Diceros bicornis minor: one gene and its partners. The main gene of each other region encodes a partner of the protein of the gene in region 2 in a complex. Links are inferred from orthologs where the notes say so. Each region holds a gene or a part of one and is shown on either strand. Other genes may lie near its edges.

What was found.
Region 1: SF3B5 (region 2) and HTATSF1 share a complex: the UniProt entries of both Homo sapiens proteins name them as parts of the 17S U2 SnRNP complex. The link is inferred for Diceros bicornis minor from reciprocal best matches to the Homo sapiens genes SF3B5 and HTATSF1.
Region 3: SF3B5 (region 2) and RBM48 share a complex: the UniProt entries of both Homo sapiens proteins name them as parts of the minor spliceosome. The link is inferred for Diceros bicornis minor from reciprocal best matches to the Homo sapiens genes SF3B5 and RBM48.
Region 4: SF3B5 (region 2) and SNRNP40 share a complex: the UniProt entries of both Homo sapiens proteins name them as parts of the minor spliceosome. The link is inferred for Diceros bicornis minor from reciprocal best matches to the Homo sapiens genes SF3B5 and SNRNP40.

Annotation. Positions count from the first base shown.
Region 1 is NC_080781.1:124,127,468-124,136,036, reverse strand, and holds the start of HTATSF1 (HIV Tat-specific factor 1), read right to left. Parts: upstream 3,349-8,569; 5' UTR 3,166-3,348; intron 2,982-3,165; 5' UTR 2,927-2,981; coding exon 2,741-2,926; intron 1,027-2,740; coding exon 846-1,026; intron 194-845; coding exon 146-193; intron 1-145. Other genes in the region: BRS3 (bombesin receptor subtype-3), read right to left, coding at 8,290-8,569. UniProt on the Homo sapiens protein: Component of the 17S U2 SnRNP complex of the spliceosome, a large ribonucleoprotein complex that removes introns from transcribed pre-mRNAs.
Region 2 is NC_080778.1:23,305,127-23,311,413, reverse strand, and holds SF3B5 (splicing factor 3B subunit 5), read left to right. Parts: upstream 1-4,905; 5' UTR 4,906-4,983; coding exon 4,984-5,244; 3' UTR 5,245-5,600; downstream 5,601-6,287. UniProt on the Homo sapiens protein: Component of the 17S U2 SnRNP complex of the spliceosome, a large ribonucleoprotein complex that removes introns from transcribed pre-mRNAs.
Region 3 is NC_080742.1:29,966,774-29,974,896, reverse strand, and holds the start of RBM48 (RNA-binding protein 48), read right to left. Parts: upstream 3,193-8,123; 5' UTR 3,067-3,192; coding exon 2,956-3,066; intron 2,424-2,955; coding exon 2,233-2,423; intron 1,470-2,232; exon of another isoform or gene 1,295-1,469; coding exon of another isoform or gene 1,281-1,294; intron 661-1,280; coding exon 515-660; intron 1-514. Other genes in the region: peroxisomal ATPase PEX1, read left to right, coding at 3,425-3,553, 3,823-3,897. UniProt on the Homo sapiens protein: As a component of the minor spliceosome, involved in the splicing of U12-type introns in pre-mRNAs.
Region 4 is NC_080752.1:46,266,767-46,275,034, forward strand, and holds the start of SNRNP40 (U5 small nuclear ribonucleoprotein 40 kDa protein), read right to left. Parts: upstream 3,113-8,268; 5' UTR 3,098-3,112; coding exon 2,954-3,097; intron 715-2,953; coding exon 585-714; intron 1-584. UniProt on the Homo sapiens protein: Required for pre-mRNA splicing as component of the activated spliceosome. Component of the U5 small nuclear ribonucleoprotein (snRNP) complex and the U4/U6-U5 tri-snRNP complex, building blocks of the spliceosome.

The DNA of each region.
Region 1 (8,569 bases), on a different chromosome or scaffold from region 2:
AAACATATTCCCTGCTAATTAAAACAGCTAAAAATATTGGCACGATGATAAAAAATAGATTTAGAGAAACTGAAAACAAAATCACTTCACAAAAAATCTCATCAAATATTTTCTATTCTAAATTTGTTTAAAAAGGTATACGTACCCGACACGTATACATTTGTATTTCTCCCTTCTTCAACATGAAACCATCCTAAAAATCAAAATGAAATAAATAAAACACATGCAAGAAAAGGTAAGAGTCATAATATGAAACCTTGACAACGTGGCAGTTTCTCAAAACTTCCAGGAACTTTTCCTTACCTTTAGAACAAGACAGACTAACTCAAATCACAGTCCAGCTTTCAAAGATTTGGATCTTTTTACAGATAGTTTCAGAGCCTTGTCTGAAAAAAGATGGCTAACTTATCTTGGTTCTTTATGATTCTGATACTAACTTAAAAAAAAAAACAAAAACTCATCCTTGCACTGACTTTAGGCCCTGGCATGCATAGGTTGCTTCTGACTCCAATCTACTGTGTCAGACATGGCCAAGATGAAACAAGATTGACTTGAGTTCAATTTAATTAAACACAAAAAAATAATCTTACAAACAGAATTTTTGATAATCCCCTAATAATAGTTCTATTTTGCAAAGGAAGAAACTGAGGCATAGAAGTGAAACAGCCTACCTAATACTCACAAATTAGTGTGAGAGCCAACATATAAACCCAAATAATAACTTAAAAAATCCTCATCTTACGATTCCTTCAAAGCTATTATAATTATCCAAAAAGTAATTATATATACATACTCTCACAATTTTTAATTGTTACACTCATGTTTTGCAAGCTAAATCCACTTGCCTGATTCGGCCTTTCTCTTTTCTCCCCTCTTTTTGGGATCACTGGGTTCAGGGGTCTGTCTCTGCGGAGGTTCCTCTACAGTCCTAGTGCCGACATCTTGTACATCTGCAGTAGAGCTAGACGCGCCATCATTAGAAAAGCCGTAATTGGCCTGATACGTAGCAATGAAATCTTCAGTGATCTAAACAAGAAATTTAGTCCACACACATACAGAAATTAAAAAATAATTCCCTCCCATAAAAAGTTTATGCTGTGTTAAATTACAGCACATTCAGTTATACAAGTTAACACAGAAGTGCTTCTGTAGATAATAGTTATCGTAATTAAAGTGTAAATGCAAGAATAGTCACCTTATATAGAAAACTGTGCATAAAATGATAAAAAATAAGAAATGGGTACTTGGATTATCAAAAGAAAAGTCTGAGATACTACTAAAGCATTTTAAGTGATGTTGGCACCTTTCTAGTTGTTTCATTTATAAATTACTACCTCTCTACAGTCTAGCTGACTAAGGCTACAAGTACGTGGAACAAAGCAACTATCAGGTAACAATAAAAATAAAAAGCAATAGTCAAGTAATAATCTAACAGAATCAATTTTTCTTTTACTATATAGATGCACAAAAGTACATGTACACTAAATTTTTAAATATCTGTATGCAAAGAAGACACAGAACTGAACTGTGATTTGGTATATGAAGAACAGAGCTAACAATTGTAAAACGAAATGCTTATTCTAACTCTATCACTAATTAAATCACATTATCATTTAGTGTCAGAACAAATTAAGTACAAACCCAACGCACATCTATCCTCCTGGCTTTTAGGTAAAAAAAGCACAATTGCACAATGAAAGAAATGCAGTTATATCTTCATACTGATCAATGTTAAACATACATAGGAATGGGGAAAATTTTAAACTCAAAGTTTGAAGAGGTATGGGCTTTCATAACTTAAAAACATAGAGTCACAAACTAGTCCATTACCAGACTGTTGTTAAAACTACTCAGAAGGCTGAAGAAACCAAGTCTGCACTGGAGCTGGCACTACCAGGACAGAAGCGAAATAAAAAATTTAACAATTTGGAGGGAAGGGAATATATACACAAATACAAAATGAGAAAGAGAGAAGTTGAAATAATCTTTTAAATAACAGTCAAATTACACAATGGAGACACGGTTGTATTGCTGGTTTGCAAGTCAATTAGTGTGCTATGGTTATCCTCGTGTCCAACCCTAAGAGGCTGGTTACCAGGATACTTCTACTGAAAAGTTCACAGAACCAAGTTTAACACCAGTTATTTTACTTCCAAGCTGAACCAAAATAATTAACAATGTCCAAGTACTCTAAATAAATATACACAGATTTTTCCATCCATACTCTGTGCACTTCTACTCATATTCCTATGGTTATATGGTTCAAACATTTGTGTCTAAGGACAAAATTTAATAGGAAAGTAAAGAGAGGTGCAAAGTTCAATCAGTAAAGATTTCTAAATGACTACTCTTTTTTTCCCAATCAAGAAGCTGCATTTTGCACATAGTATATAAGCTAAACATCTGCATTCCTAGGATAAATGAGTTGAGCTACTAAATTTGAGCTTGGTGTTTCTCCTCTTTGCAACAAAAAGCAGTTACCAATGTAATAACCAACTGTGACCTTCACAGGTAATATTAATAAGGCATAGAAAAGATTTAAGAATTAAATACATTTAAGACATCTTCCTAAAGATTTAGCTTCCTTTACACATCGGTTCTGCAACAGACACAACAAAACAAACGTCACTATCCATGCGGGCTCTAACCTAGGACCTCAGCAAAGAAAACGTCAAAGGAGCGCCCCGCGAGGCTGGCCAGGCGGGCCCGCTCTGCAGTGGCGCCCGTGCCACTCTCTTACCTTGGGGAACCAAGCCTTCTTGTCCAGGTCCCATTCGTAGGGGGTGTCAGCCGGCTGCTGCCCGAAAGAATCGGGTTCCCCGCCGGGATCTTTCTGGGTGTTGTCGTCCTTGGTGTCTCCGTACAACTCTTGCATTCGCAACTGCTCATCAAACTCCTCGTTGCCATCCAAGTTGTTGCCGCTCATGTTGCCGACTTAGCCCGAGGGCAGGGTCCAGGCGAGCGAAGAGGCCGAAATGACGCTGGAGAGGCACAGAGAAAAGGCGGTCGGCTGCGCTCGGCCCGCGCCCCGCAGTCCCCCGGCCCGCCTCCCCGCGGCGCCCCAGCAGCCCCCGGGAAATCGGGGCCGCTCCGCGGCCGCGCCGCCCCCCGCTCCGCCCGCCGCGCGCGCGTCGATGCTCCCAGCCCGGCCGCGCCGCCGCCCACCTGGCTCACTCCGCCGGGCCTCGGCGCCGCCGCTCGATCCAGGGCGCGAACGCTGCGCGCCCGCGCGCCGCCGCCGCCGCCGCCGCCCGGGTCTGAGGCGACTGCGGCTCCCGCGGCAACGTCAGGAAATTACTTGAAAACGGAGGCCCGCTCAGGCTGACGCAGTCGCCATTGTAGGCGCGTCGCGACGTCGCGGGTCGCGCCGACACGCCCACCGTGGCGTCAACAGGCGCCGACGCGGGCAAGAGGTGCGGGGGCCAGAGGGCGGGGCGCCGGGGGTGCCGCGTGATAATGGCCGCCCGGGCCGCCTCAGGGGGCAGCGGTACCTCCGGCACCTCGGGCTCCGCCGGGTCCGCGGCGGGCAGGGCCGAGCCGGGCCGGTAGCCCGAAGGCGTGGGAATGTTCCCACTGGGCAGGCGCCGCGGCGCGCTTCGGGCGGCCGCCATCTTGGGGGAGTGGATGGGGCGGACAGGACAGGTTTGTCTTGCTGAGAAAAAGACGCGCCTCCTTCGCCCAGAGGCCCCTCCTCCGCGTGGGAAACGAGTCTTTTACTTGTTTCTTTATAGTTTCTCTAGGATAGGCGCCGGCTCTTCTGCGTCTTGGTAGCCTCAGTTCCTAGCACAGGGTCTGGGGTCTAGCGCGTACTGAATGAGTGAGTGAAGGAATGAACGAAGGAACGATGGGTAGAAGAACCAACCTTCTTTTCCAAGCCTCATCCCCTCCTTTTTCTCTCCGGTACCTTCTTCAGGCTGGAGATGGACTCTGTGGAAAGGGAGGGAGGGCAGCAGTTGCCTACCTCTCATGCTCCATGATTCAGAGATGCTCAAGCTGCAAACCTGAAACTTAAATGTAAACATCCAAGTATAAACACCAGCTTTGCTGGCCGACTAACTTCATTTTTTGTCTTTCTGTTGGAAAGACACGGAATGCTTTTCCTCTAAACAGAACTTTTTCCCCGGGAGTTATACATATTGCTGAAAATGAAGAGGTCTGTATTTTTTAATCGGGCAGGCATTTATTGGGTTCCTACTAGGTACCAGGCACTGTAGTAGGCTCTGGCGAGCCAGCAGTCAGCAAGACAGGCACAGCTCGGGGGTTACACACTTAGGTTGTCTGGGACATGATAGGATAGAAGAACTGGACGCTGGAGAACAGCGGTTCCCAAACCTTTTGGTGTTGGTACCCCTTTACACTCAAAAAATTATTTAAGACCTCAAAGAGATTTTGTTTATGTGAATCATTCTTATCAATATTTGTCACACTAAAATTAAAACAGCTATTTAAAAGAATATTAATTCCTTTAAAACTAACAATAAACTCATTATGTGTAAACATAAATTTCATAATGCATACTTGAGGGTGGGGAAAAGCTTCCCAGAAGAAGTTCTTTTTACTCTTCTAGTGACCTTTGCTTCTAAACATAGCGATTGAGTATGGGTTCTAGAAAATCCTAACTCCCCAAATACTAGCTGTGTGAATATAGTTTTAACCATAACAACGATTTTTAAGTAGTAGCTTGAGTTTAGGTTTTTTTTTTTTAATTACATTTCTTTTTCATGGAGTTCTTGTTTTGGTGGAGACTTTTGGAGAACTGCACTTGCATGCATTTTTATAATATAGATAACATCAGTTTTGTTAGGTTCATTTAAGCATTGCTGAATATTTCTTCTTGGCTCCAGAAATAGCATACAGCTGTTTTCAGCAATGTGTTGTTGGGCTCCCATTTTATTCCTGAGTGAGATCACAGCATAGGTGATAATATGCTATACAGCCCTACTGCACGTGACACTCTGAATGCCTGCTATATCCACGGGCCCCTCTGAGCAGGTGGCCAAAAAGGTTCCTTATGCCTACGTCCCATGGGGCCCAGCCACCCTGACCCAAAGGCTGTCCAGAGGTGTGTGAGGGGACCTGGCAGGGTAGCCGTGCTTTCTAGACAAAATTTAACTGACTGAGCCAATAAGAGCGTCTCCCCAGGAGAGGAATGAATATGGAAGGACAGGGACATGGTCAGAGTAGCACAGAAGCAGGGGAGGGCCACACAGGGAGGGTAATAAGCAGAACAGAGGCCTGCTGTGGAGAAGTTCCCCAGTGGTGAGAGCAGAAGCTGAGGCAGTGACAGGGTCACTGAGTCACCATCATAGTGCAGCAGTGGAATTGGGAGCTAAGCACACTTGTACCTACAATGGCGTTCTCTTTGGCCACGAGACCTGACAGTTTTTTTTTTTTTTTTAAACAATGCTGTTGTCTCTATGAGGGCTGGTTCCTGTTTGTTGTTATTTCCCTGTATAGTCATAGAATTAACTCCCTAGTAACTGAGGAAATCTGGAAGTATCTCTGTCTTCATAAGACAGAGAGCTTTTTTGCAAGTCACAGAAACACTCAAGGTAACAAGCAAAAACGAGGGAGCTTTATTATTATGAAGATAGAGAGTAGCTCCTGAAATTCCAGGCCTGGACTGTAGATGGGCCACATGAGGGGCTGCTGGACCCAGGAAGCCGAACCAGTCTCAGAACCTGGACAGCGGCTTCTCTCTGAGTATCTCCTTCATCCTTCTCTCTTTGACCTCTGTAAGGGGTGATCTGTGCTGTACTCCTGATCTAATAGGCCAAGGCCTTCTTAGTGGATAAAAATATAATAACCTACAAAGCAGAGATCTCTTGGTCAGAGAAGTCACCTACCTGGCGTAGGAACTCTTTCTGGAAAACTACTGAGCTATACCAAACTAGATTTTTTTTTAATGGCCCATTCAAGCTTACTCTGTTCGGGAATTTTCCTGTCCCCACTTTCTGTAATCTCAAGACTTAGTGGAAATAAAAGTAACTCTGTTTGACAAAATGATTGATGGATCCCTGACTTAAGATGGTTATAACTGCAGAAATTCTTTAAACCCAAATTTGCTATTTTCACTAGGTATGCCAGTGTTAAATATTTTGTAGTGCTTTCAGCTTCAGTGACGAAGACTTGCCCATCGAACGTTATGGTTGTGCCTAAGTATGTTTTGTGGCTTTGTTTTCCTGCTTGGTAGCATATTATTATGGTCCATCATTCTAAGTCTTGGGTCATGGCAGACCCCGAGCAAAGTTGAGAAGTATACAAAATTTGTTTTTCATGTGTCCCACCTCTCCACCCATTTAGGACCATCTCCAAAGAAATGAAATCTTCCAGAGTAACATTTCTGGCACCACAATAGGCAAGGTGAAAGAAATTGTGAATATTGGGGCCTACTTGTATGGTTAGTTCTGACAAGGATAATCTGTTAAAAAAAGAGACCACTCCCTCCAAAAAAATCCAATCAAAGCCATGAATTTTAATCTTAATTCCCCAACTCTGGATGGGAGGCTGATGCCCTATAAGATCATTTAGAGAATTATTTTATGTCAGATCCCTAAGTCACGTAGGGATTACTGAGCATGAAGAAAATGAAAGTTCTTTGAGCTCTAGCTTTATCAACTGCTAAAAGGCTCTCTTGGCTTTTGTAATCTGGTACTTTAATCAAGTTATTTCTAAACTGTTATGCTTAGGAGAGTAAAGATGTAATTTTTACCCAGAGTGAGGAAAACAGTCAAATATTTTGGAGTTTGGTGACTTGAAAATCACTTAAATTTTCGAGTTAAATGGGTTCTCAGTTATCTTCTGTTGGAAGTATTGTTTTTAGAATATAAAATTACATAGTCATTTAAAACTTTATTTCACATTTATTTATTTCCCCCCTTATTACAATGTCCAACTTAAAACAATACAAATACAATACTAACACCCCCCCACTTTGACTAAACTGATTTTACAGAAATGTAAAGTCTAGTGTTAATATATATCCCCTTTTTGAGCCACATGATTAGCAAAAGTTCACAACTACACAAGCCATTTAAAGAAAGCTCGAAACTACCAAAAGCACACCCCAAAATCAAGTTTTTGAAAATACAAATTTAACTACCTATAGTGCCAAACATATGCTTTAATTTGCCACAAGAAAACATTTTCTGAAACCACAAATCTGAATCTATGTCTATTGACAAAAATTATTTGAAATAACAGTTATGAACAAGCTTATAGCATTAGCAAGTAGGAGCAGAGGAGAGAAAATCAGAACCTTCCATCTGATTTCCAAGGGCAGAGACTAATTAGGTCATACTCTTACAGGTTTTAGGCACCCATCAAGTTTAATGAAGTCAAGCAGAAAGATGATCTGATAACAACTGTGCACCCAGGTGTTAGGGATTTCCTGTGGTACTTCTGCACTTTTTAGAAAGAGGGCACTGCTTACCAGAAAGAAAGGAATTTCCTTAGAGGAAAAATTTCAGACACTGGTAGGCTTGCACATTTTTCAACACAGGTCCTTCCCTGGAGCCCTCAAATGACGCGGTAAACGTGGCCACTTATTCTGCCTGTGAATAAGGCAAGTTATTCACAATATTTGTGAAAGATAACTTTGCCCAATTATCAATCAATGCTGGTTGTAAGTAGAACCACATTAAGTCAGTAAGTGTTGACCCAGTAAGGCAAGCCCCCTGCCCCAGATCCTTACTCAGTATTGTACTTTATACTCGCTGACCCCAAAACACTTGCCTTGCAATGCACAGCTTTAGTTTTAGTGGAATAGAGATTAATGGAAAAGGGCAGTCAAAAAACCTGTGAAGGTTTATTTTTTAGGATTTTGTTTTTCAAGAAAGCGACAGAAGAGATGTTTTATCTCTCTTTGATCCCCTTTTCATATGCAAGTATAATCTCTAGATTTACACCACATAATAAACACAAACACAGTTTTATGCAACTCACAGGAGTATATGAGAAATAAGCATCATAGATGTGATGGAAACAAATCAGAGTTGTAAGTGTCATCTTGTTTATTTTACCTTCCCTCCTATTCAGCCTCCCTTACTACCCACTGACGTATGCAAATATGTCTTTCTATACCTACTGAGGCTTCACTTTATTTAGAAAGCCCAATGACGTTAATGTTTGTACGTTGAAGAAAATCAGTTTGTCTTTTACTTATCAGGATCCCTCACTCCTAAGATTTCAGCACAATTCACAAACAACACAAACCCAACCATACACCTACGCACAGCTCAGAGTCGGATACACACGCTGGGAGGAAAAATACCATTTTTAATTGAAAAGCTAGACTCTGTCGTCTTCCTTCTTCACACTACACCCGGTGAACAAGGTCACACTAATTTCAGACACCTGCCTGCTCCCAGCACCAGGGAGCCGTCCCATCACAGCCAGGTTGTTCAGAGGGGTATCTGCAGGTGGAGGGTCAGGCAGCTCTGCCTTGCAACAGAGTAACTGATCTTTAAAATGCTGCTGGAAGGTTTTACTCAGCCAGTAAAGAGCAAAGGGGTTGACACAAGAATTGCTGAATGCCAGGACCCGAGAGAAAATGGTGACAATAAAATGA
Region 2 (6,287 bases):
TAAGAAATTGTGATATTTCTCACTAGGTCACAATTTAAGACTCACAAGGAACATCTTTACGTATACACAGCAGAGAACCAGGAATAAATCTAACAGAAGATGTGGAAGACCCATACGGAGAAAATTATATAAGCTTTATTTAAAGTAAAAAAAGTAGACCTAAGTAAATAGAAATATATACTACGTGCATAAATGAGAAAACTCAACATAGTTAAGATGACAATTCTCCCCAAATAAATCTATAAAGTCAATGTAATTACAATTAAAATTGAAGCAGGGTCTTTGTGCTATTTGCAAGCTGACCTTATCAAATGGGAAGTTTTTTTGTTGCCTTTGAGGGTCATTTGGAGGAATGCAGAAAGCACTATTCAGAGATTTACTTAGGTTTTAAAAGTTAACATTTAATTTATTAGTTATAAATTGAAAAGATGCCTTTTTCTTTAAGCTTTTAACTTCAGCTAAAAATCCTAAACTCTAAGTCTAGCAAGTTTTTGTTTGTTTGTTTTTTTTTTTGGTGAGGAAGATCAGCCCTGAGCTAACATCAGTGCTAATCCTCCTCTTTTTTTTTTGCTGAGGAAGACCGGCTCTGAGCTAAAATCTATTGCCAATCCTCCTCCTTTTTTTTCCCCCAAAGCCCCAGTAGATAGTTGTATATCATAGTTGCACATCCTTCTAGTTGCTGTATGTGGGACGCGGCCTCAGCATGGCCGGAGAAGCGGTGCATCAGTGCGAGCCCGGGATCGAACCCGGGCCGCCAGCAGCGGAGCGCGCACACTTAACCGCTACGCCAAGGGGCCGGCCCTAAGTCTAGCAAATTTTCACAATCGCTTTTAAGGGGCCTTTGGATAAAATTTAGTTCAACTCCAAATTTTAACTCTCAAACATTTTAAGCCATACTCATGAATGTAATGTAATACATTTCATTTCCTTGTAAAGACTGTAATTGTCTGATTTAACAAATAAAACCTTTCACGTACTTAAATTATTTTCACAAATCTAATTAATTAAATTTACAAATGTGTAAAATGAAACAAGTTCCCTTATATACTCCACATCACTGTATAAAACGGTTATAGCTGAATTGTGTCCTGTACGCGCCCCCCCCCCCCAAATTCATATGTTCAAGTCCTATGCCCCAGTAGCTCAGAATGCGACTATATTTGGAGATAGGACCTATAAAGAGGTAATTAAGGTAAGATGAGGTCGTATGGGTGGACTCTAATCCAATATGACTGGTGTGTTTATAAGAAGAGGAGATTAGGACACAGACACGCAGAAGGAAAAGCATGTGAAGCCACGGAGAGAAGATGGCCATCAGCAAGCCTCGGAGAGAGGTCTCAGAATGAAACCGACTCTGTCATCACCTTGATCTTGTCCTTCCAGCCTCCAGAACTGTGAGGAAATAAATTTCTATTGTTTAAGCCCCCCAGTCTATAGTACTTTATTTTGGCAGCCCTAGCAAACTAATACACCTTGGCTCTTAATTAATACATGTAAATGTATTTTCCATCTCTAAAGACCTTTGAATTTGAGGAATTCTCTCATATCCTCAGAATCACTCTTAATGATACAGAAACAATATTAATTTTCACGGCTTTGTTTGACTATTCAATCACAATTTCCGTGAGGATTTTAGTGACAATTCTAAATTCATGTGGAAGAGGAAAGGATCAAGTTAAAACATGTATGAAAGAAAAATATTGTATAGGCTTTCACCCTGTTGGGTATCAAGACTTATTACAAAGGTACAGTAATTAAGATCTTGTGTTACTAGTGTAGGTCACAGACTAAGAGGCTAATAGAACAGGATCCCAGAAACAGACCTATGCATATACAACAGAAGCACTAAAGATGAGTAGGGAAAGGATGTACTATTTAACAAACGACTGGTTATCACTAGGAACTAACCAGCCATACAGGAAAGTATCAAAAAACCTGATCCCGAAAGCAAAACAAAACAAAAACTTCCAGGTGGATTAAAGTTCTAAATATGAAAAACCAAAATTCTAAAACTTTCAGAAGAAAATGAAGGAAACTACTTTCTATGGCTGGCCCCAGGGTAGAAAAGAGTTTTGCTTGATTTCATTTTTCAAACCAAATGCAAAAAGCACAAACCATCAAGGAAAGCTGATACATGTGACTGCTTTAAACTTAACTTCTGTACAACAAAAGATAACACAAAGGAAGGTTAAAGATGAGCCACAGAGTGGAAAAAAATATATTCATTGCGTATAACTGGCAAGCCTCGTATCCTGAACATATAAAGATCTAAAAAATTAGTAAGAAAAAGACAAACACCCCAATAAGAAAATAGGCAAAGGATATGAATATGCATTTCACAAAAGCAGAAATTAATAGGCCAATAAACACATAAAAAACATGCCCAGTATCCCTAGTAAGCAGTGATATGCAAATTAAAGGCACAATCAAATTCCATTCCACCCTTCGGATTTGAAAAATGTTTAAATGTCTGAGGTCACCAAGTTTTGGGAAGGATGTCGATCAAAAGGAATTCTTAGTTTGCTGGTGGGACAGCTAATTGGTTATAACCGATGTTGGAGAGCAATTTGGCACTATCTAGCAAAGCTTGAAGACATTCATTCCTATGTCTCAACAACTTTATTCCTATATATATGCGCTAAAGAAACTCCTTCACGTGTGTAAGAACATATGTACAAGAATATTCAATTAAGCATTGCTTCTTATAGCAAAAACGTGAAATTAAATGTCCATTATAGAGAGAATGGAGATGTTATGGTATATTAATTCAGTAGCATCCTGCACAATAGTAAAAGTTAACTAAAGCTACATATATCAACATGGATACTGACTATGATAAAATGCAACTTACATAACATACATACCGGGTATCATTTATATAAAGCTTTAAAATATGCATAACAATAATACTTACTGTTGATGGATACACAAACTTTCAGCATTCAAAAAAAAAAAGAGGCTCAGGAATGATTAACTGTAAATTCAAGATAGTACCCTGAAGTGAACAGATTAGGGAGGGGAACACAGAGAACTTCAAGTTTATTTGTATAGTCTTATTTCTTAAAAAAACACAGCCAAAACAAAAGAACAAAGATGGAAACAAAAGTGGCAAAATGGCAAGGTTTGATATATCTAGATGGTGAGTCCACGAGTATGCCTTATAATAGTCTCTACATTTTAGGAATGACATGTTTGTTATAACAAAGGTTAAACCAAAGAATAAAACGTTTGTTTTTTTTTCATTTTTGGTACAAGCATTTGATCCTATAAGGAACATTTTGTCGTTTTCTTTAATTTCTTTTAAATAAAAATTGCATATATTTAAGGTGTACAACATGATGATTTGATATAGTGAAAGGATTACTACATGGGCCAGCCCCGTGGCTTAGTGGTTAAGTGCGCACGCTCCGCTACTGCTGGCCCAGGTTCAGATCCTGGGCGCGCACCTACGGACGGCTTCTCCGGCCATGCTGAGACCACGTCCCACATACAGCAACTGGAAGGGTGTGCAACTATGACATACAGCTATCTACTGGGGTTTTGGGGAAAAAATAAATAAAATTATTTAAAAAAAAAGGATTACTACAGTCAAGCTAATTAACATATCCATTGCCTCACATAGTTACCTTCTTGTGTGTGTATGTGGTGAGAGCACCTGAAATCTACGTTCTAAAGAAATTTCCAGTATTCAACATAGCATTAACTATAGTCATCGTGCTATTTGGTCTCTAGACTTAGCCATCCTACATAACTGCAACTTTGTACCACAATAAAAAATATTTTAAAGTTGTCTTTCTCCCAATAACGAGTTTCTTCTATTTGGCTCTAATACAGCTGTTTATCCGTTCATCAAACGTTTTTTAAGAACGTAATCTCTGCCAGGCTATGAGGATACCCTAAACAGATACCATCAAAGAAGCATACGAGAAAAGATGCCACCAAAAAAGTCAACTCCTTTCCTCAAGCAGTCTGCGTTCGCGTGAGGAAGTCCTTAAACCAAAAATTAGGATATAAAGCGGTAATAACGAAGCGTCCAAGATGCAAAGAGGAAGGAGAATTTACACGTGTGGAGTGGCCAAAGCCAATTTCAAGGAGATGCTTTCGAGCTGACTTCAAGGGAAGAGTGTTTGCCAAGGGAACAAAGACATTCCAAGCAGAGGGAACAGCTTGTACCAAGAACGGGAGAGGCGAGCAGCACGGAACACGGAGAAGCGCAGGTGGGGGCGTGTAGGGCGAGGTGGGGAGTCAGAGGGAGGGTGTCAAAATAAGGAAGGGGGACCCCGATGTGAGGGCCAGAACGCGTCGTAACGGGTCACCGGGCGGGAAACGGCGGCCCTGCTAGCGCTGAATTGACTTGCACTCCACACAACTTCTAAACAACACAGCTGGGACCAGAACCCGCGTCTCCTGATTTCACCTGGTCGTGAAGGGGCTACCGTGCTGTCACGTTAGCTCCAAAAGCAGAATTACACCAAGACTTCATCTTCCCAGTCGCTTGTAGCCCTGTCCTACTTGAATGTCCTACTTCCTCGCAGCCCCAAACCGCCCAAAGATGCTCCCCGCCACCAAGACACCACCCTCCATCAGACCGCCCACAGCCTCCTAAACCAAGGCGATGGGTCCCAAAAGCCCGCGCGCACGAACCCTGGGAGACTACAAGTCCCAGCATGCAAAGCTCCCGGTTAGGAAAAGCGCCGCTAAATGGACCATCATGCAACGCTCTACGAAGGGGGCGGGCTCTCTGTAGGGGCGGCCCGACTTGTAGCGTCGCCTAGGCAACTCCAATCCGGGACGGAATACGCTTCCGCTTCCGCCTCTGAGCCCTAGGACCGCGAGTCCCCGCGGCTCCGTCGTTGTGACGCCATTCGCCTGCGACGGCGCAGTCCTAGAGGTCCGGTGGGGTGTTCATTTTCCGGCGTGAAACGCTAGAGCAGCCATTGCCCGCCGCGGTTTCTGCCTGGGATCCAGCGGGAAGGCGGCGAGATGACGGACCGCTACACCATCCACAGCCAGCTGGAGCACCTGCAGTCCAAGTACATCGGCACGGGCCACGCCGACACCACCAAGTGGGAGTGGCTGGTGAACCAGCACCGCGACTCCTACTGCTCTTACATGGGCCACTTCGACCTTCTCAACTACTTCGCCATTGCGGAGAACGAGAGCAAAGCGCGAGTCCGCTTCAACCTGATGGAGAAGATGCTGCAGCCCTGCGGGCCGCCGGCCGACAAGCCCGAGGAGAACTGAGACCCCGCCGGGTCCCCGCCGGGCGGAGCGTGGCTCCCCGCGTCCCTCCCGTGTGCCGTGGCTCCCCGCGTTCCCGCCCCGGGGCGACCGGTTCTCCGTGGCTGCTGCTCCCCGTGCTTTCCCGGTGCAGAGGCGCTCACCCGCGGCGTCTCGCCCGACCTGCCTTCCTCTGGACGCCTCGGAACAGGGCGTTGGGCGACCGTCAGGACCCCTGGGGACCGCGACCCTGGAGAGATCCCAACGCCAGCCAGCGTTAAGGGGACACGGCACTGCAGCGAGACGGCGTTCGGAGGCTCGTTTTTGGCCGGTTGATTGTCGTTGTTGCCTTTTCCATAAAGTTTAGAAGTTTTTCGGTCTCTTGGTGTGGACTACTTGTGATCGGGTGGAGGGGTCCAGGGAGGGTTTTGGGGACTGTGGTTTCGTGAGAGGGTGGGGTGGGGGTGGGGGTGGGCGCGGGGCCAGGGTACATTGCCAGGCGCTTAAATCCGCCCTGGACAACTTTTATCATATGCCCCCCACCCGCCGACTTCTCCCAAGAGCCTTTTTCAGTCCGGTAGTGCTTTCAGTATTGAGGTTTGTGATCATTGCATCACACCTTTTTGTTCTCTTGTTCAAAAAATCTTTACGGTCATTGCCCTCTACTCTCTCTGTAAATTGCATCCTCTCTACTCTTGGGACTCTCTGGGCGTGTGTTGAGAAATAACAAGCTGTCAAACGAGTTTTCTCATTCATTCAACATTCAACAAATACTTGTCGAGCTCTATGTGGCAGGCATTTTTCCACACTTTGGGGGTTTACATTATACTGGCGGTGGGGGGAGGGGAGGGGGGGCACACAAACTGTAGATGTAAATAAGCAAATGTTAGAAGGTGCTGTGGAGGATGGGAGTAGCGGCAGAGTTGCAATTTTAGATAAGATGCTCATGTTAGACCGTTGAGATGGTGACATTTGAGCAAAGGCCTTAAGGAAGTGAGGGAAGTAGCCATGCAGAAAAGTGGGGAAATTGCTTTCCAGGCAGAAGGAACTGCCAGGGCGATGGTCCT
Region 3 (8,123 bases), on a different chromosome or scaffold from region 2:
TTAGATTAGCAGTTGGTAACTGGTCTACAAATCATAATTGTTTCTCACTGGCTTTAGGTCAAAGCCTTAATTCCTTAGTACGGGACACAAGGCCCTTTATGATTCACTTCCTGTCTGGCTTTCTAATCTTCTCTCTCACTGAAGCCCCTGTGTTGTGGTTACCCTGTACTACTCAGAGTTCCTTAAAATGTATGATGCTCACTTATTCTTCTGGGCCTTTAAACATGCTACCTGGCCAACCTTTCCATCTCTTCCTCTCCCCTTCTGGGTAATATCTCCCTATCCTTCAAAACTCAGCCACCTCTTTCGTCCTGTAGGAAGTCTTCCACCAAGCAGCCTCTCTCTCTTCCCAGCCCAGGTTCTGCAGACTGCTGCACAGAACTCTGTAGTTTACAGTTATTGAATATTGTGATCATTTACTTGCCTCTCTTCCCACTAGACTGAGAGCTCCATGATGATATACCTAGCAGAGGCCCTGACACATAGGAGGTGTTTAGTAACAGGCTTTCCATACCTTTATTGTTAGTAGTTCTTGCTACATAAGCCTTTCTTTCTTGTAATTTTTTTCTAGTTTCTTCAACAGTCTCAAATTCTGGAGCGTAACACACATGAAGCAATCCACCAAAGAAACTCTGTTCATCCATTTTCCTCTTGGCTATCCTAAACAGAAGTACATGATAGCATGGCTGATTAATCTAGATTTACTTAGGATGAAAGCTTAACTAGTATACAATGCATTGATCTAAAGACCAAAGTCCAGCTTTTGCTATGTGTATGTACATCCCATGGTTTGGGGATTAAGAGGCTCTGCTTATGGATGGTATTGACCCTACTGATTCAGTGTATACTCTTAGAGCCTTCCCTGCCCTCTCCCAATAGTGTTAACAGGTTTTGAGCTAAGTCATCCACACATATCCAGACTCCTTTTAACCAGCTCAGGATCCAGCAGTTAGCCGGAGGTACACAGTCTGTGATCATGAAATAGAAATCTTCTCTGTGTTAAGTTAAATGGCCCTTCAGAGTTAGCTCATACCCAATTTAGCCTTTTCAGCACAATGTATTCCTATAAAGGGATTCATATATAAAAAATTAATTAAAATACTGTAATTGTAAAGCTTTCAATAATTGAGGAAATATTGAATATATAACTAATCAACGAGAAAATGAGAGAATAGTATTCATTCAACAAACACTTATTAAACAACTACGACTGGCCAGGCACTACTATAATAAATACTTAAGTACTTATATGCCCAGGGATAACGAAAAGAAATACTTACAGAGATTTTACCATGCACCAAGCAGTGTCCTAAGTGCTTCACTTGAATCAACACTTCACAACAACCCTATAATACAACTGAGGACTGGGGAGATTTATAACTTGGCCACACTCACATTAGTTTATGGACCTAGGATTCAAATCCCAATGTTGAACTCCACAGCATACTGTACTAGGTGCTGCAGGAGATACAAAGAAAAGGTAATTCCTTAACCATGAGGAGCTGGCAAGCTGGTTAGGGCAGTGAGATTACATATAAGAGCAACCTGAGAACAATACATGATCCCATCAAGTGTTTTTGTGGCAGACTACAACTGCTATTTGTAGCACAGAAAAGAAAATATTAATTGTAATAGCCAGGGAAGGATGGGTGTTGGAGCAAATCAGTGACAACAATAGAGGTATACCTAAAAACAGACAATGCATTTCATACTTCAGCCTTGTTGGAACAGAGAGTTCATGTTACACAGAAGGCTGGAAAAGATGGGGTCCATCCTCATAGGCACATAACAATAAGAACCTCAATAGCTAATGTTTATTGCGTTCTAAACAGGAGGCACTATGCTAAGCCTTTTATAGGGATTATCTCATTTCATCTCCACACAACCTCAGTAAGTAGGCCCTTTTACCACATAGATTTTAGAGAATAGGAAAAACAGGCTTAAAGGAATTAACTTGTCCAAGGTCATGATGTTAGTAAGTAGGGGAACTGGAAAACTTACTCCAAACCCAATTTTTAATCTACACACTACACGACAGAAAACTGCTATGCATGGGAATGACATGATGGAAATAGTTTTGACAAGGCTAACATTCAAGAAGAAAGGAGGAAGATAATACAACAGGGCCATGTTAGGTTATTGGGTAATTCAGGTATGAATAAAAGAAACCTTGGGCCAAAATGATAGCAATGGAAATAGAGGAAATGAGACACTGCTTAACTGGCATATTACCTTGCACTTTGTAAATTCATAAATTTAATAAGATAAACTTCTGTAAAGTCTTCTGCTGGATATTCATCTAGAGCATTATACTGTTCAATTGCACCATATAGAGCAAATCGCTCAACTAATTCCTTCATCGCTCCCACTGCAGGAACTCCTTGTATTAATAAGTATCGAGATTCCAAATTGACTGTATATACCTAAAAGAAACGCAGACACATTAAACGTATTTTCTAAATAAGCCTAGGACAAATCTGCTGTTTTTTAAAAAAGCTTTGAAAACAACAAATACTCTGTTCAGTCGGTCTGCAGGAAACAAATCAAAAATTCTGCCCCTCTCTCTGCATAAAGAATAATTCAGCCCACGTGTGAGGGCCTCTAACTAAAGCACAGACAATATTCCTTCGACATGTATTCCAGAAGTGGGCTCCGTAGAAGTTACTGGAAAGAATTAACAAATATTCACTTGCCGTATGCCAAGTACTACTGTAAACATGGAAGATACAGTGACTAAAATAAAGGCCCGTTCTCGCGGAGCTGACGTTCTAGCAGCTGACCAAAAGGGTCGTGAGAATCTTCGGTACCTGAGTACCAGTGTTACTCATACCCATCTCCAATGAGTGACGGATATGACCGCAGCCTTTCAAGCTTTTATTTACGTAAACTAGGCTTGTGGAGCTAGAGCTCACATAAAGTTACCGAGGACAGCGAAGGAAACCAAAATCACTTTACCTTGACAGCGCGAGGCCGTCGCCCCTCCCGATACTTGGCCCTTGTGTCGCATACGGCCCGCTGGACGTGGTGGTCGAATACGCCCCCAAGCTCCCGACCACTCGACGCCATCTTGCCGGTTTGGGCTCTTGCAAAGACGACAACATCCGCCTCGCCGCACTGCCGTGTATCCAATAAGAGAGAGGGATAGGTCAAGGCGTGCCGGGATTGGCTAGAAATCGACAGCGGGGGGCCATCGTTTCCTGCGAGCGAGGACTCGGTGCAAGAGGTGCCGCCCCCAGCGGCGCGGCGGAGAGGCGCGCAGAGCGGCACAAGGCTTGCTTGGCCGTCCCCCTAGCGGAGCGCGGCGAGAGGCGCCGCGGGCACAGGGGGCGGGGCGATCGGCCGCCTCCGGCTCCGAGGCGCTCGGCCTGCCCGGGCGTCCGGCGTCAGCTGGCGTGGGCGGCCGGGGCCTCCGGGCTTGCTGACGATGTGGGGCAGCGATCGCCTGGCGGTTGCGGGGGGAGGCGGAGTGGCCGTGACCGTGGCCTTCACCAACGCTCGCGACTGCTTCCTCCACTTGCCGCGGCGCCTCGTGGCCCAGCTGCACCTGCTGCAGGTAACGCGGCGGCCCCAGACGAGGTTCCCAGCCCCGACTCGGGGCACCTAGTCGGCAGTCTGGGGTCGGACGGGGCCGAGGTCTTGCAGGGACGCGGCGGCCGCTCAGGCCTCTCCCGGCCGCGGCCGCGGGCTGCCTTCCCGGCGCCGCCGAGCTTTCAGAAGCCAGTCGGAGGGCCCCTCGAGGGCAGGGCCGGTCTGGGCAGTGTCTGCAGCCCTCTCCATGTCCAGTGCAGCCCCGGGTCTTCGCGTTACCTTGCCTCATTCCAGGTCTTTTCACTCGGTGAAACTGGGCTTTCAAACATCCTAATATTCTACCTCTGCCTTCAGATATCCTCACTCCAGGTTGGAAAAGCTCTTGAGAAGTCGTTTTTGTTTTTGTTTTAAATGTTTTCCCCGGCAGCGATTTCCAGGTGCCTGCACTGCTGTGGTCCGGGCCCCCGGGGGGGAGTGGTGTGCAAATATGTTCGCGGAGCCCCTGTAGGTTAACAGGGACTAAGCACGGTGTCCCGTGAGCGGGATAGGTTAATAAAATGAAGGTTCTTCTCTGTGTCTCCAACACTCAGAACACCTCCGAGGGGTGCCAGGAATGTGCAGTGGGATTATGCATATTTGGATGTATGTAATTAGGTATACTTGAACCTCTGCTGTCAGTCGCCCTGGTGGACGTTGTGGTGGTGGTGGTTCATACCTCTAACCACTGGTGGAGTAACATCAGCCTATTTTCATAATTAAAACTAGAGGCACCTAGTGTACGAGTTTGAGTGTGCTTATGGGGACAAAAGGATAGAATATTGGAAATCCTCGGAAATCCTGGATGCATGGTATCCACCACTGGCTAATCCATGCAGGAAATATTTAAGAGTTTGCAGTAATTTCAAGTATCCAACCTTTCCACGTTAGCTACTTCCCCATAACTATTTTTCTAGATTATTGCGCCCCCCCTCCCTCCTTTTAGAGCATACCAAATTCAGCAGATCCTTCCGTTATTTCTTTTACCATAAAGTAGACGATCTTTTGGCCCTGATGAGCTTCCTTCATGGCTGGAAACGAGTTAGTTAGTGGCAGCAAGTCTCAGGTGGACCCTGCCCCGTGCTCTGGGCTTTGATGGAGATTTTCAACATGCCTTCAAATCCCCACCTAACCAGTTTATAGGAATAGACTCCCCACCTAATGAGTTTATAGGAATACTTCTTTACAGCAACTCTAATAACTTGATCTTAAGATGTGGATGCTCTGTTACATTCATCACTATTTAAGAATTTAGTGGTCTTGATCTTTCTTTTAAATTTTGACCCTTTAATAGTTATTCATAAGGGCCGGCCCCATGGCTTAGCGGTTAAGTGTACGCGCTCCGCTCCTGGCGGCCCTGGTTCGGATCCCGGGCGCACACCGACACACCGCTTCTCCGGCCATGCTGAGGCTGCGTCCCACATACAGCAACTAGAAGGATATGCAGCTATGACATACAACTATCTACTGGGGCTTTGGGGGGAAAAAATAAATAAATAAAATCTTTAAAAAAAAAAAGTTATTCATAAGAATTAATTCATGGATCTCTTTTGAAACTTAAATCTTTTCTGCCTTGGAATGAATTGTTTTTTCTATCCAGCCTACATCAGCAGAATAGGCCAACTTTTCTCCCCAATTATAAAATTAATACATATGTTTCATAGAAAATTTAGAAAACAAAGAAAATTATAAACAAGAAAATAAAAGTTACCCATAATCCCCAAACCTAGAGGTAACTAATATTAGCAGTTTGGGCCACATCTTCCAGTTTTGTTTCTAATCTTTATTTTTAACGAAATGAAGTCCTACACACACACGCATATACAGTTAAAGGTAATCATCATTTTTAGTGGTTAATTAGTATTCTATCATCAATTTGCCATAATTTGTTGAATTGTTCACTGTGATTAAACATATATGTTGTATTCAATTTTTAGACATTAAAAGTGATACTGTAGTTACATTTTAATAAAAAGTTAAAAATAGGGCTGGCTGGTGGTGTAGTGGTTAAGTTTGCATGCTCTGCTTCGGAGGCCCGCGGTTCATGGGTTCGGATCCTGGGTGCAGACCTACATGCTGCTCATCAAGCCATGCTGTGGTGGCATCCCACATACAAAGTAGAGGAAGATTGGCACGGGTGTTACTGCAGAGACAATCTTTCTCACCAAAAGAAATAAATAAGTAAATAAAAAGTAAAAAATAGCATATCTTTGTTTATAAAACATTGTTTTCACTTCTGGTTATTTAGGTTCTCAGAATTATTGGTTTAGAGGGCATAGATAATTATTAAAGCAGAAAGTCACGAGTTGGGAGTTAGTAGGTTGAATTATTTGGGCTAAAGTATTGAGTACATAATACACATAGTGCTGTAATGGTAAGAGGGTCAGAACAATGGTTTTCTGGCCTGTGTGAGACTTACCTTGAAGCTTTGAAAAATACAGATATTCTGGCCCTTCTGTAGACCTACTGAATCAGAATCTTGGGAAGTGGGCTTCAGGCATCTGTAATTTTTAAAATATCTTCAGGCTACTTGGATGCACAAAAGAGTTGAGACTCACTCTTCTAGAATCATAGATGTTGGTGATGAAAGGGACCTTAGGTGTCTAGGTCATTTCTGTACACATAAGGAAACTGGCACTCTCAGGCTGGTACCATTTGCATGCTGTTAATTTGCCATCTTGTCTAGAACTCACTCTGTGTCATTCAGACTAGCCTTCTCACTTCTCACCCAGCTCTCTTCCACTTCTGTACTCTTACTCACACTATTCTTCCCCAAAACATTTTTCCTTATTCCATGCTGTTAAAAACTGAGCGTAATCCTACCTCCTCCACATAGCTTTCAGATTCTCTCTTGCCCACATTTGTCTCCTTTTCAGAACTTCAGTGCTGTTTATGTGACACATCTCACTTGTTACACTCTGTTCTGTGTTTCAAGTATTGTCTTCTTTTGTTTATCCAAGCCTTTGTTTCAGGATTAGGTACGCAGTAGATCCTTTAACTCAGGATTTCGTCACTTTGGCACGGTTGACATTTTAGGCTGGATAATTTTTTGTTGTGGGGGCCTGTCCTGGGTATTGTAAGATAATTAGCAGCATCCTTGACCTCTGTCCACTAGATGCCAGTAGCACCCCTCCGCCCAGTAGTGACAACCAAAAATATCTCCAGACGTTGCTAAATGTCTCCTGGGGATCAAAATCACCCTCAGTTGAGAACCACTGCTTTAGGTCGGTTACTTTGTCTGTACTCTGGGCTCACTGCTTGCTCTAATTGCTAACGGGGGAAAGGATTTGTATCCATGCTGAATGCAAACAAATGAACCTAAATCGCCATCCAGAAATGGCCGGGTATAGATTTGTCATTTCCTTTGTGTTAGCAAGAGATAACCCAGGCCTCAGACCTGGCCAGGTACCACAGTGTCTGGCCACACACCCAGTTATGCAAGGAGTGTGAAATAGGTAGTGAAGAGACCAGAGAAAAGACCTGGAGACGGCGTACGAGACATATAGGTTTATTGGGACTTATGTATAGGGAGTGTCCAGGGGCAGCTGGCTGGACAGAGTTGTGCACCTGCTACTGTGGGCAGAGAGGGGTTGTTTATATAGGCAGGGGACAAAGTCTATGTGCTTGCCAAGAGAGACTGCCCTTGGTGCAGCCAGCGTTCCCTGGAACAGCAGCTCACGTGGAAGGGCTCTGTGTTCCTTCAAGACATGATGTTCTTTGAGTGAGATCTGGGTTGGCCAGGCCATCCCAGCTGGTTGGCGTCCTGCCCAGGATGGGGCCAGGAGGACACAGGATTGTAATAGGGCACGTAGGTTATTGCTGAGCAGGCAAAGCCCTACACACAGGTTCGGGCAAAAGCGGGCAGTCAATCATTTGTTGATTAATCTCCTGGAAAAGAGACTCCTTTCTCTCCAGTCTGTTTGTTCCTCCTCTCTACCTGAGTGCCCAGGGGCTCTGTGGTTCAAGTGAAAAATTGTTGACATAAAAATGGACTGAGGACATTAGTCTGCAAAGTTTACTAAATCCCACTAAACATGTGTTATGACTTGATGGAGCTGGTTACTACATTTTGACCAAATGAATAATTGAAGTATTTTTCCTGTTTAATAAAGTTGATTTTTCCTTTTTCCAGTGTGTTGGTGGAATTCTCTTTTTTGATATTTCAGAGTGTATTTCATATTTCTTTATTTAACCTCTGGTTTTAAATGTTTCTTCGTATGACCTGAGTTGATCTGGATTAGACATCACTGACTCTGAGGAAGCCCCTTGGAAAGCACCTGGAGGGTTGGTCGCCTTCACTCTTGTGACCTCAGCTCACACTGTTATAGCTGACATAGTAACTTAGGACTTTTGGCTGCAAACCTAGGGCTCTTTCTGCTGTATCACACTGTTCTCAGTGGAAAGATTTTGTCTGCCAGAGCAGTTGGACTATCCTGTGAAGAACTGTGAGAGAAATTACACAACTAAATGATACATGATGACTTTCTTGTATACAAAGTTTTAATATCATTTTAATAACATGGTTAATTTAAAGTCCATTATATCACCTCAGAAGTGGC
Region 4 (8,268 bases), on a different chromosome or scaffold from region 2:
ACGATGCCAGAAGGCAAAAAGTCAGATGTTTCTGTTATCTTCTCTCTTGCTTTTCCTAATGACTCCCCAAACTGATTTTTTCTACCTATTCCTCAAAAACGGGTATTCCCGACTAGTAGCTGAGAATTTGGTAGCAGATCCTAATGATGTATAGGTAGATTATCCAAGCGAGTTGTCACTTTAGGATCCCTTCCTTCCTTCCTATATGCTAAGATTCTGAAAGTGGATCAGGAGGAGAGCCTCATACCTTTGGGAAAAAGTTCTCTATTACTCCCATTAACCTGTTAAACATGGATCTCTTATCTTGCAAAATCAGCTCAAGATTTGCCTCCATGAGGAAGATAGTCTCAAACTACAGCAACTCACCTTCTAACTAGTAACGTAATTCCTTCTGTATTTACCACATGGACCCCCAAGTTCTACACCCAAGATTATTCAGCATTTTCTTGATCCTATTTTAGCATGTTAGCTGTAGTTTGTCATGTGACCAACTCAGACTGATACCTTCTGTGGCACTGAAGGTTTTAAAAATAATCACTATCGGGAAGAGAGCGATCACTCCAGATTCAAAAACTATGCCTTACATATTAGTCGGTCAAATCCTGCAGATGCTAAGGTGGATCCATTGGGGTGAAACTTGCAGCAGTACACTTCCCCTTCATGTCCTGAGAGAAGCATGATTGGGGCTTGAAGGGAGGAACATCTTGGAGGGCCCTACACAAAAGAGAGAGGTACAGGGTAGTCACTGCATACAGACCAAGGAGGCTGCACAATTGTGGAGGCGGGGGTGGGTGGAGGAAAAAGACAAGGGAAACAATGAGTGAACGAATTTCTTCTGATTTAGAGAATGACAGCTCTTCTCACATAACTTACACCTCCAATTTGATACTCTCCTGCTGAGGTTTCCAGGGTCTACCTGTTATACTAACACTCCTCCTTCCTCACTCTGCTCCTGTCCCATAGCCAACTTTTAATTGCTCAAACATGTTAAGCTCATTTCTGCCTCAGGATCTTTACACTTTTGTTGCCCCTGACAGGAATCCTCTTCCCCTAGATCTTCCTGTGTTTGGCTCCTTTCAAATGTTTCCTCTTCAGAAAGTCTTTCCTGGATCATTCAAACTCAAGCAGTGCCCCACTGCCCCTCTAGTCCATGAACCCTACTGTATTCCCTCACAGCACTTATTACTACCTGAAATTACCCTCCTTATGTATTTGTTTACATATTTTGTCTTTATTCCCTACTAGAAAAGAAGCTCTGTGAGTGCAGGGCCCCTGCCTGGGTCATTCAACACTGTTTTCCCAGTCTCTAGTTCAATTAAAGAATGAATGATTGAACTGAGCTTCCCAACAACCCTGCAAGGTACAGATTATTGGGGAAAGTAGTTTTGATTATGGTCTCAACATAAGCCTACTCTTGGGCAATTCACCGAAACCTGGGCTGATATTCTTACTTGTCAGTGGAAGAATAAGTACACTATCAATAATCCCCAAATCTCTTCAGTAATTTCCAGCTTACTCATTTATTAAGAAAAATACTACGTGCCAAGCACTGTTCTAGGCACTGGGAAAACAGCAGTGAACAAAATAAACAATGGAGTTTGTGTTCTAGTGGGAAGGAGGGAGGGACAGAGAGAACAACTAGAACCTACAGATGGTGGTACAACAGAAAAAGCAGCAATGTGGGTTAGTGAGTACTAGGTATTGCAATTTAAAATACGCTGGTAAGGACAGTCCTCACTGAAAGAGGGATATGTGAGCAAAAATTTGGAGATGTGTGTAAACCATGCACACATTTGGAAGAAGAGTATTCAAGTAGAGGGAGCAGCAAATGCAAAGGCTGTGAGGCAGGAGCACGGAAGCCAGTGTCACTGGAGCAGGGTGAGCAATGGAAAATTGGTAGATCAGAGACGTAAAGGCAAAGCCGGCAAAAGACTGTAAGGATTCTAGTTGTACTCGGAGTGAAGTGGAAAGCCACTGAAAGTTTTCAGCAGAGAGTAACATGATCTGCCAGTTTAGAAGAACTCCTCTGGCTGCTGGATTGAGAATAGACTGATTACATAATAGCAGAAACAGGAATACCAGTTAGGACTCTACAGCAATAATCAGATAACAACATAATAGTATATAATAATAATAATGAGATAATAATAGCTTAGACCACAAGTTAGTGATGGAGGCCACAGCAATTCTGTATATATTTTGAGGACAACACCAAACAGGATTTGCCGACCGGCTGGTTGAGGAGTTGAGAGAGGGGGGACACACATGTATTTCTTCATCCGAGCCTAACAGCACGGAAGGAAAGATGTGATCATTATCTCTAACCTACAAGAAATGCAGTTAAGCGCATGGATTCTGGGCTTAAAATCTGTTTCTATCACTTACTAGATAAGAGTTTGTTTTCCCAGCTACAAAATGGGATAATAATGGTTCCTAACTCTTAAGCTGTTACCAAGGTTAAAGGAGTTTTCACATATAAAGCACTTGGTACAAGGGCTCAATGAAGGTTAGCTATTATTCAGTTGTTAATACTAGTGCACAGAAATAAAGGGAAAAGCAACTTGCCCAAAGTCCCAAAGCGATCCAGTATCACTCATTTCCTTCTTTCCTTCCTTCCTCCATCCATTCTACAAACTTTTCTGAATGTTTACGCCGGATCCTGGAAGATTTAGGATGCTAACGCCGGTTTTGAGCTCAAGATCCTTAACTCTAATTCTAACGCCACCTCACAGGGCGGTCGAGACGCCGAAAACCGGCGTCAAACGGGGAAACGTGAGGAGCATCTGCAGGGTGTCGGCCGCTTTTACAACGTTTTCGGCTTTAACTCCAGATACCGAGTCTCCTTCCGCCCCCACAGCGCGGAGAAAGGGCCGCCGCGAGATCACCCGGCGCAACGCTCCGAGGAGAGAGAAGGATGAGCCGAGGGCGGAAGGCCGCCTGCCACTTCACTCACCGCTTGCAACAAAGCTCCGGGCGCCGCCTGCTGCTGCCCCGCTCCGGGGCCCGACCCCGCGGCTCCCAACAGCAACTCATGCCGCTGCCGCTTGACCGGGACCAGCGGCAACTCTGGACCCTTGCGCTTCTGCTGTTCTATCATGGCGGCAACCGCTCTCCTTAGCGCAGCCACTGACCGCGCCGACACCCTCAGGCACCGCGCGATTGGCTCCGACTTAGTCCTTCCCCTAGAACTTCCGGCTTGGAGGAACCAATCGACTTCCAATATTCCCCTCTGCACCGCCCCCTGGATAGTCTCCTGTTATTGGTTAGCTGTCTCTGATGTCACGAGAGTACGATTCCAGGATTGGTGGATGGAACTGCAGTCCCGCCTAGGCGCGCTGTGTCTTGTGGGTGGAACCGCGCTGACTGGGTTGCGGCGTTTCGCGCAATGCTGCGGCCGGGGGACCTGCAGCTGACGGAGAGTAAGTAGGAGGAATGTCGGGGTGGGTGGCTGCGGAATCTGGAGGCGGCGCCTCGGTGATATGGTCTGAGCCTGCCCATTCTCAGCTGAAGTTTTGATTGCGAGGGGCGGAGGCGGGCCCCAAGGTCCTGGCTCTGGGGGGTAGTAGCCTGGTTTCCTTTCTGTGCTGGAGCAGAGCCTTGGGGGTCGCTGCGGCTGCCTGGGCACCTCGACGCCGGACTCCTTCAGCAGGCGGCTACTGTGTCCAGTCCGGTGCCGGAGGCCCCCGGGGAGAAACGGCCTGGATCCTCTCTGAGTGAGGAGGCCGACTTGTTTCTGCCACTGATTCTGCAGCCTCTCCTAGGGCCTGCTCTGTGTCCCTGAGAGAGACAGGGACGGAGGAAAAGTCCGACTCTTGCTTCTCCAGAGCAGTCTTGTTGAGAAATTTGGACTTATACCTGTGAAATAGATCTTCTCCTTAATCGTCCAATTGATATTTATTTGGCAAAGCATTGAGGATATGTGATCCCTGACTTCAGCGGTTCGAGTCTGGTGGGGAAAACAGATGTTAAACAATGATCTCCCTGAGAAATGTGAAATAAGTGCCGTCTAGGAGAGGTGCCTGAGGTTATGAGGGCCTGAAATAAGCAGAAAGGCTTGTCTGAGGAGAAGATGCCTGAACTGATGCCTGAAGAAAGAATTCTAATTAGTTGGGTGAAGAGAGGAAGGCAGAATATTCCATATAGAACAGCATGTGCAGAGGCCCTGTGGCAAATGGGAGGAAAATGCCTCAAAGGCACAAAGAGGCCAGTGTGGCCAGTGCAAAGAGAATGAAGGGAAGTATGGTCCAAGATGAAGCTGGAGGCCGGTAGAGGGCAGACCTTGCAGGACTTTGTAGCTTTTATTTGAAGACTGATGGGAAACCACTGAGGGTAGTTTTTTGAGGGGGAGGGAGTGTGTGGAGGAGGTAACTTAATCCCTCAGGCTCAGTAGTGTGAACAGATCTGAAGAGAGATAGATGCAGATAGACCCTTTAAGTGAGCGTTGTTGGCGGTGTAGACTGAAGTATTGGTGAAACTGCAGAGAATTGGACAGATTCTAGAGATATATGGGAGGTAGGGTCAGTAGGACTTGGCGATGGCTTGGATTCAGGGAGTGAAAAGAGAGGAATCACAGATAACTCTTAGGTTTTTGGCTTATGCAACAGAGTATTTATTTCATTGGTAGAGAAGGGAGAGGTCATTCATGACTTCAGGAGGCAATTTGAAATATGGCTTTGCAACTCAGAAGAGAGATTTTTGTTGGAGATATATATTTGGGAGTAATTTGCATATAGGTGATAATTGAGCGATAGGTGTGGGTAAGATCCCCTAAGTCAGAAGCTTGAGTAGTTCCAGCATTTAATGTCCAAGAACAGGAGGATGAACCTACAGGAGAAGAAGAGAAAAAAGAGCTAGAGAGGAGCACCAGAGGAATGTTGTCTCAGAAACAAGGAAATGGCCAGTGTCAGAAACTGGAATTTAAAAAACACGAGAATTGAAGAATGTGTGTTGGCTGTATCATCGTGGAGCTCATGGTATCCTTAGCGAGAGTTATTTTGTTGGTGTGATGGGGCCAGAAGCCAAAGATTCAGGCAAGGGATCGGAGGCAGTGAATCTAAAGAGTGTTTTTCATACATATGATTGTAAATGAGAGGAGAGGATGTGGAAGCCGAAGGAGATGAGGGGTCACCAGGAATCCACTTGAGAGGGCGATGGAGAAATTGAATACACAAGAGACAAATTCGGTCATTGATAGTGTTCTGAGAACATGGGAATGGATGGGATGCAAAGTACAGTTAGAGGGAGCAGCCTTGGGAAGATGGACAGTCCTCCATTTAACAGAAAGGAAGAAGGAAGTGAAGGCAGTAGATATAGGTTGTTCTTATGTTTGGTTTTGGTAAAATGAGTTCCTTTCTCATGGTTTTTATTTTCTCTGTAAAGTAGGAGATAGGATCATATACTTAGAGTGAGAGGAAGTCAGAGATTTGAGAAGGTTGCAGAAGATTTGAAAATCATTGTAGAGTGTGTGGGAGAATGGGTTTACCAGAGAGATGTAGAATTGTCGTGCAGAGTTATGGGCCCATATGAAGTTGGGGATCATATTTTATTTCCAGCAACATCAGGCTCAATGCAGACATGGAGAAAACATATGCAGATATGGCAAGGACCGTGGGTTTGGCTTGCTCAACACACATTCCCACCTTTAATGTGCCTTCTCTTACAGAAAAGTCTGGGGTGCTAAAAACTATTTCCTGGCTCCTTTGCACCTAAGATGAGAATTGAATTTGGAACTGAGTTAAATGTGGAGAGAAGGAGTGTGAGAGGCATCCAGTTTTGCTGGCAAATATTATGGTAGAGGCAGTGAGTTTCTTTAGTCAGCAGCTTTCTGGTTTAGTGACTTTCTGCAATGATAGCCATAACTTTCTTGATTGTGACAAAGACTGTGTTATTTTTTGGGTTAGGAGTTGTTCCTGGAAGTTCTACCAGAACTTCCTATAGCCCTTCCAGTAGTTTTGTAAGCCGATACCTGGCAATAAATCCTTTTCTGCTTAACCTAGCTAGAATGGGTCCTGGTGTCTGCAGCTGGTGGGGGTACTGCCAGATAGGTGAGCCGTAATGACAGAGAGTTAGGGGGAACTCAGGGTGTTGTTTGAATGATAGACTGTGGAATCTAAGCTGGAAAGAGAGAAAAGTTGAGGTAAAAGGAGAGGGCTGATGGATTAGAAGAAAATAGAAGTCAATAGATCAGGGTTCTAATGAGGTCAAAGAACAGTATTCTCTGCCAGAGGACTTCCATTTATCCTTAAAGGCCCACTCAGTTGTTACCTTTTAAACTTCCCTGCTTCCCCTAGGCCCTTCTTTTCCTCTTGTTTTCTTAGTACTTTGAACCTAGCTGCTGTTTTAGCACTGATCATACTGCATTGTAATTGGTCACCATTATCTCTACCAAACTAGGAAGTGTTTGAGGACAGGAACTGTGTTGAAAAGGGTGGTTTAGTGGCAAGTGTGTGTGGCCCTTGGAATGGCCTAAGATTTGTCTCTTTCTAGCTATGAGTTTTGTACTAGTTACTTCATTCCTGTAAAACAGGGATACTTACTTTGTAGAGTTGCTTTAAGGATTGAAGGAGGTTTATGAAGTGCCTGACATATAAACATCAATAAATGTGCTGAATTGGTAGTTTAAAGTAGGGTAAAATTAAGTACTTCAGTATTTCAGTAGACAGAAATGTCTATGTGCTTTGCACTGTGCTAGGCTCTAGAGATTTGAAGGATATGATGTGCAAGACAACGGCATGCTTGGAAGAATTTCATAATCTAGAAAAGGAAGAAAAAATGTTTGTAAATAGGATTTGAATCCTGTCTCCATCATTGATAGTTTTGTAATCTTGAGCAAGTTACTTAGCCTCTCTCGTGTCTTAGTTTCTTCATCTGTAAAATGACAACGATAATTGCCTATCTCTTAGGGTGGTCAAAAAGGGAATTAAATTAGTTAATACAAGTAAAGCTTTTAGGTTAATACATGGCAAATAGGAAGCATTCATATATTAGCTATTATTGTTAGAGAGCTTGGAAAGGACCTTAGGGATTATTGACTGAAAGAACAGTGTGGGGTAGTAGCGTAAGAACAGGTGTTGGGGTCTAGTACAAACGTGGCTAACTGTGGGCAGCCTTTGTCAAGCTGACCTCTATTAGCTCATTTTCAGTTAAATAGGAGTAATAGGCTGAATGATCTCCATAATTCCTTTCAACTTTCACATTTTATGAGTCCATGTTTTGTGTTTTTCCTTTCTTTTTACTATTCTTTCTCTTTCCTGCTTTTGACCATTTTCTCAACAGATCCATGACTGGAGTTTAAAAAAGGAAGAAGCATCTGTCTAAGATAGTCACTCCAGAAATTTGGTGGGAAGAAGGAAGATTGGGCCACTAATTTGGCATTTGATAGTCTCCCATCTTCTGACCCATCCAGCATATTGTGAGGAACTCAGTTTCTTCTCCTACATTCTTTTTTTTTTTTTTTTAAGGAAGATTGGCCCTGAGCTAACATTTGTTGCCAATGTTCTTCTTTTTGCTTGGGAAGATTGTCCCTAAGGTAACATCTGTGCCAGTCTTCCTCTGTTTTGTGTATGGGATGGAGCCACAGCAGGGCTTGATGAGCAGTGTGTAGGTCTGTGCCTGGGATCTGAACCCACGAACCCTGGGTTGCTGAAGTGGAGTGTGTGAACTTAACCACTATGCCACCGGGCTGGACCCCCTTCTCCTACATTCTTTAGACTGGAATGCTTTCTTCCTTTTTCTCTACCTGTGTTTGGCACATTATAAGGCTCTGTTCACTCATTCAAGAAAACTTTGGGTACCTGCTGTACACTAGGCACTGGGAACACAAAATCAAATAAGAAATGATCCTTGGTTACGTGTTTTTTTTTTTCTTTTGTGAGGAAGATCAGCCTTGTGCTAACATCCATGCCAATCCTCCTCTTTTTGCTGAGGAAGACCAACCCTGGGCTAACGTCTATTGCCAATCCTCCTCGTTTTTCTCCCCAAAGCCCCAGTAGATAGTTGTATGTCACAGTTGCACATCCTTTTAGTTGCTGTTTGTGGGACGCCGCCTCAGCATGGCTGGAGAAGCGGCGTGTCGGTGCGCGCCCGGGATCCAAACCCGGGCCACCAGTAGCAGAGCGCACACACTTAACCGCTAAGCCACGGGGCTGGCCCCGTTGGTTACGTGTTTGAATGAATGAACCCAGACCCTGCTCATCGTGTCCTCCTCTATGAATGATGCCCCTCTGATCACTCCTTATTGGAATCTCTAATGTTGGGACCTAGTTAGTG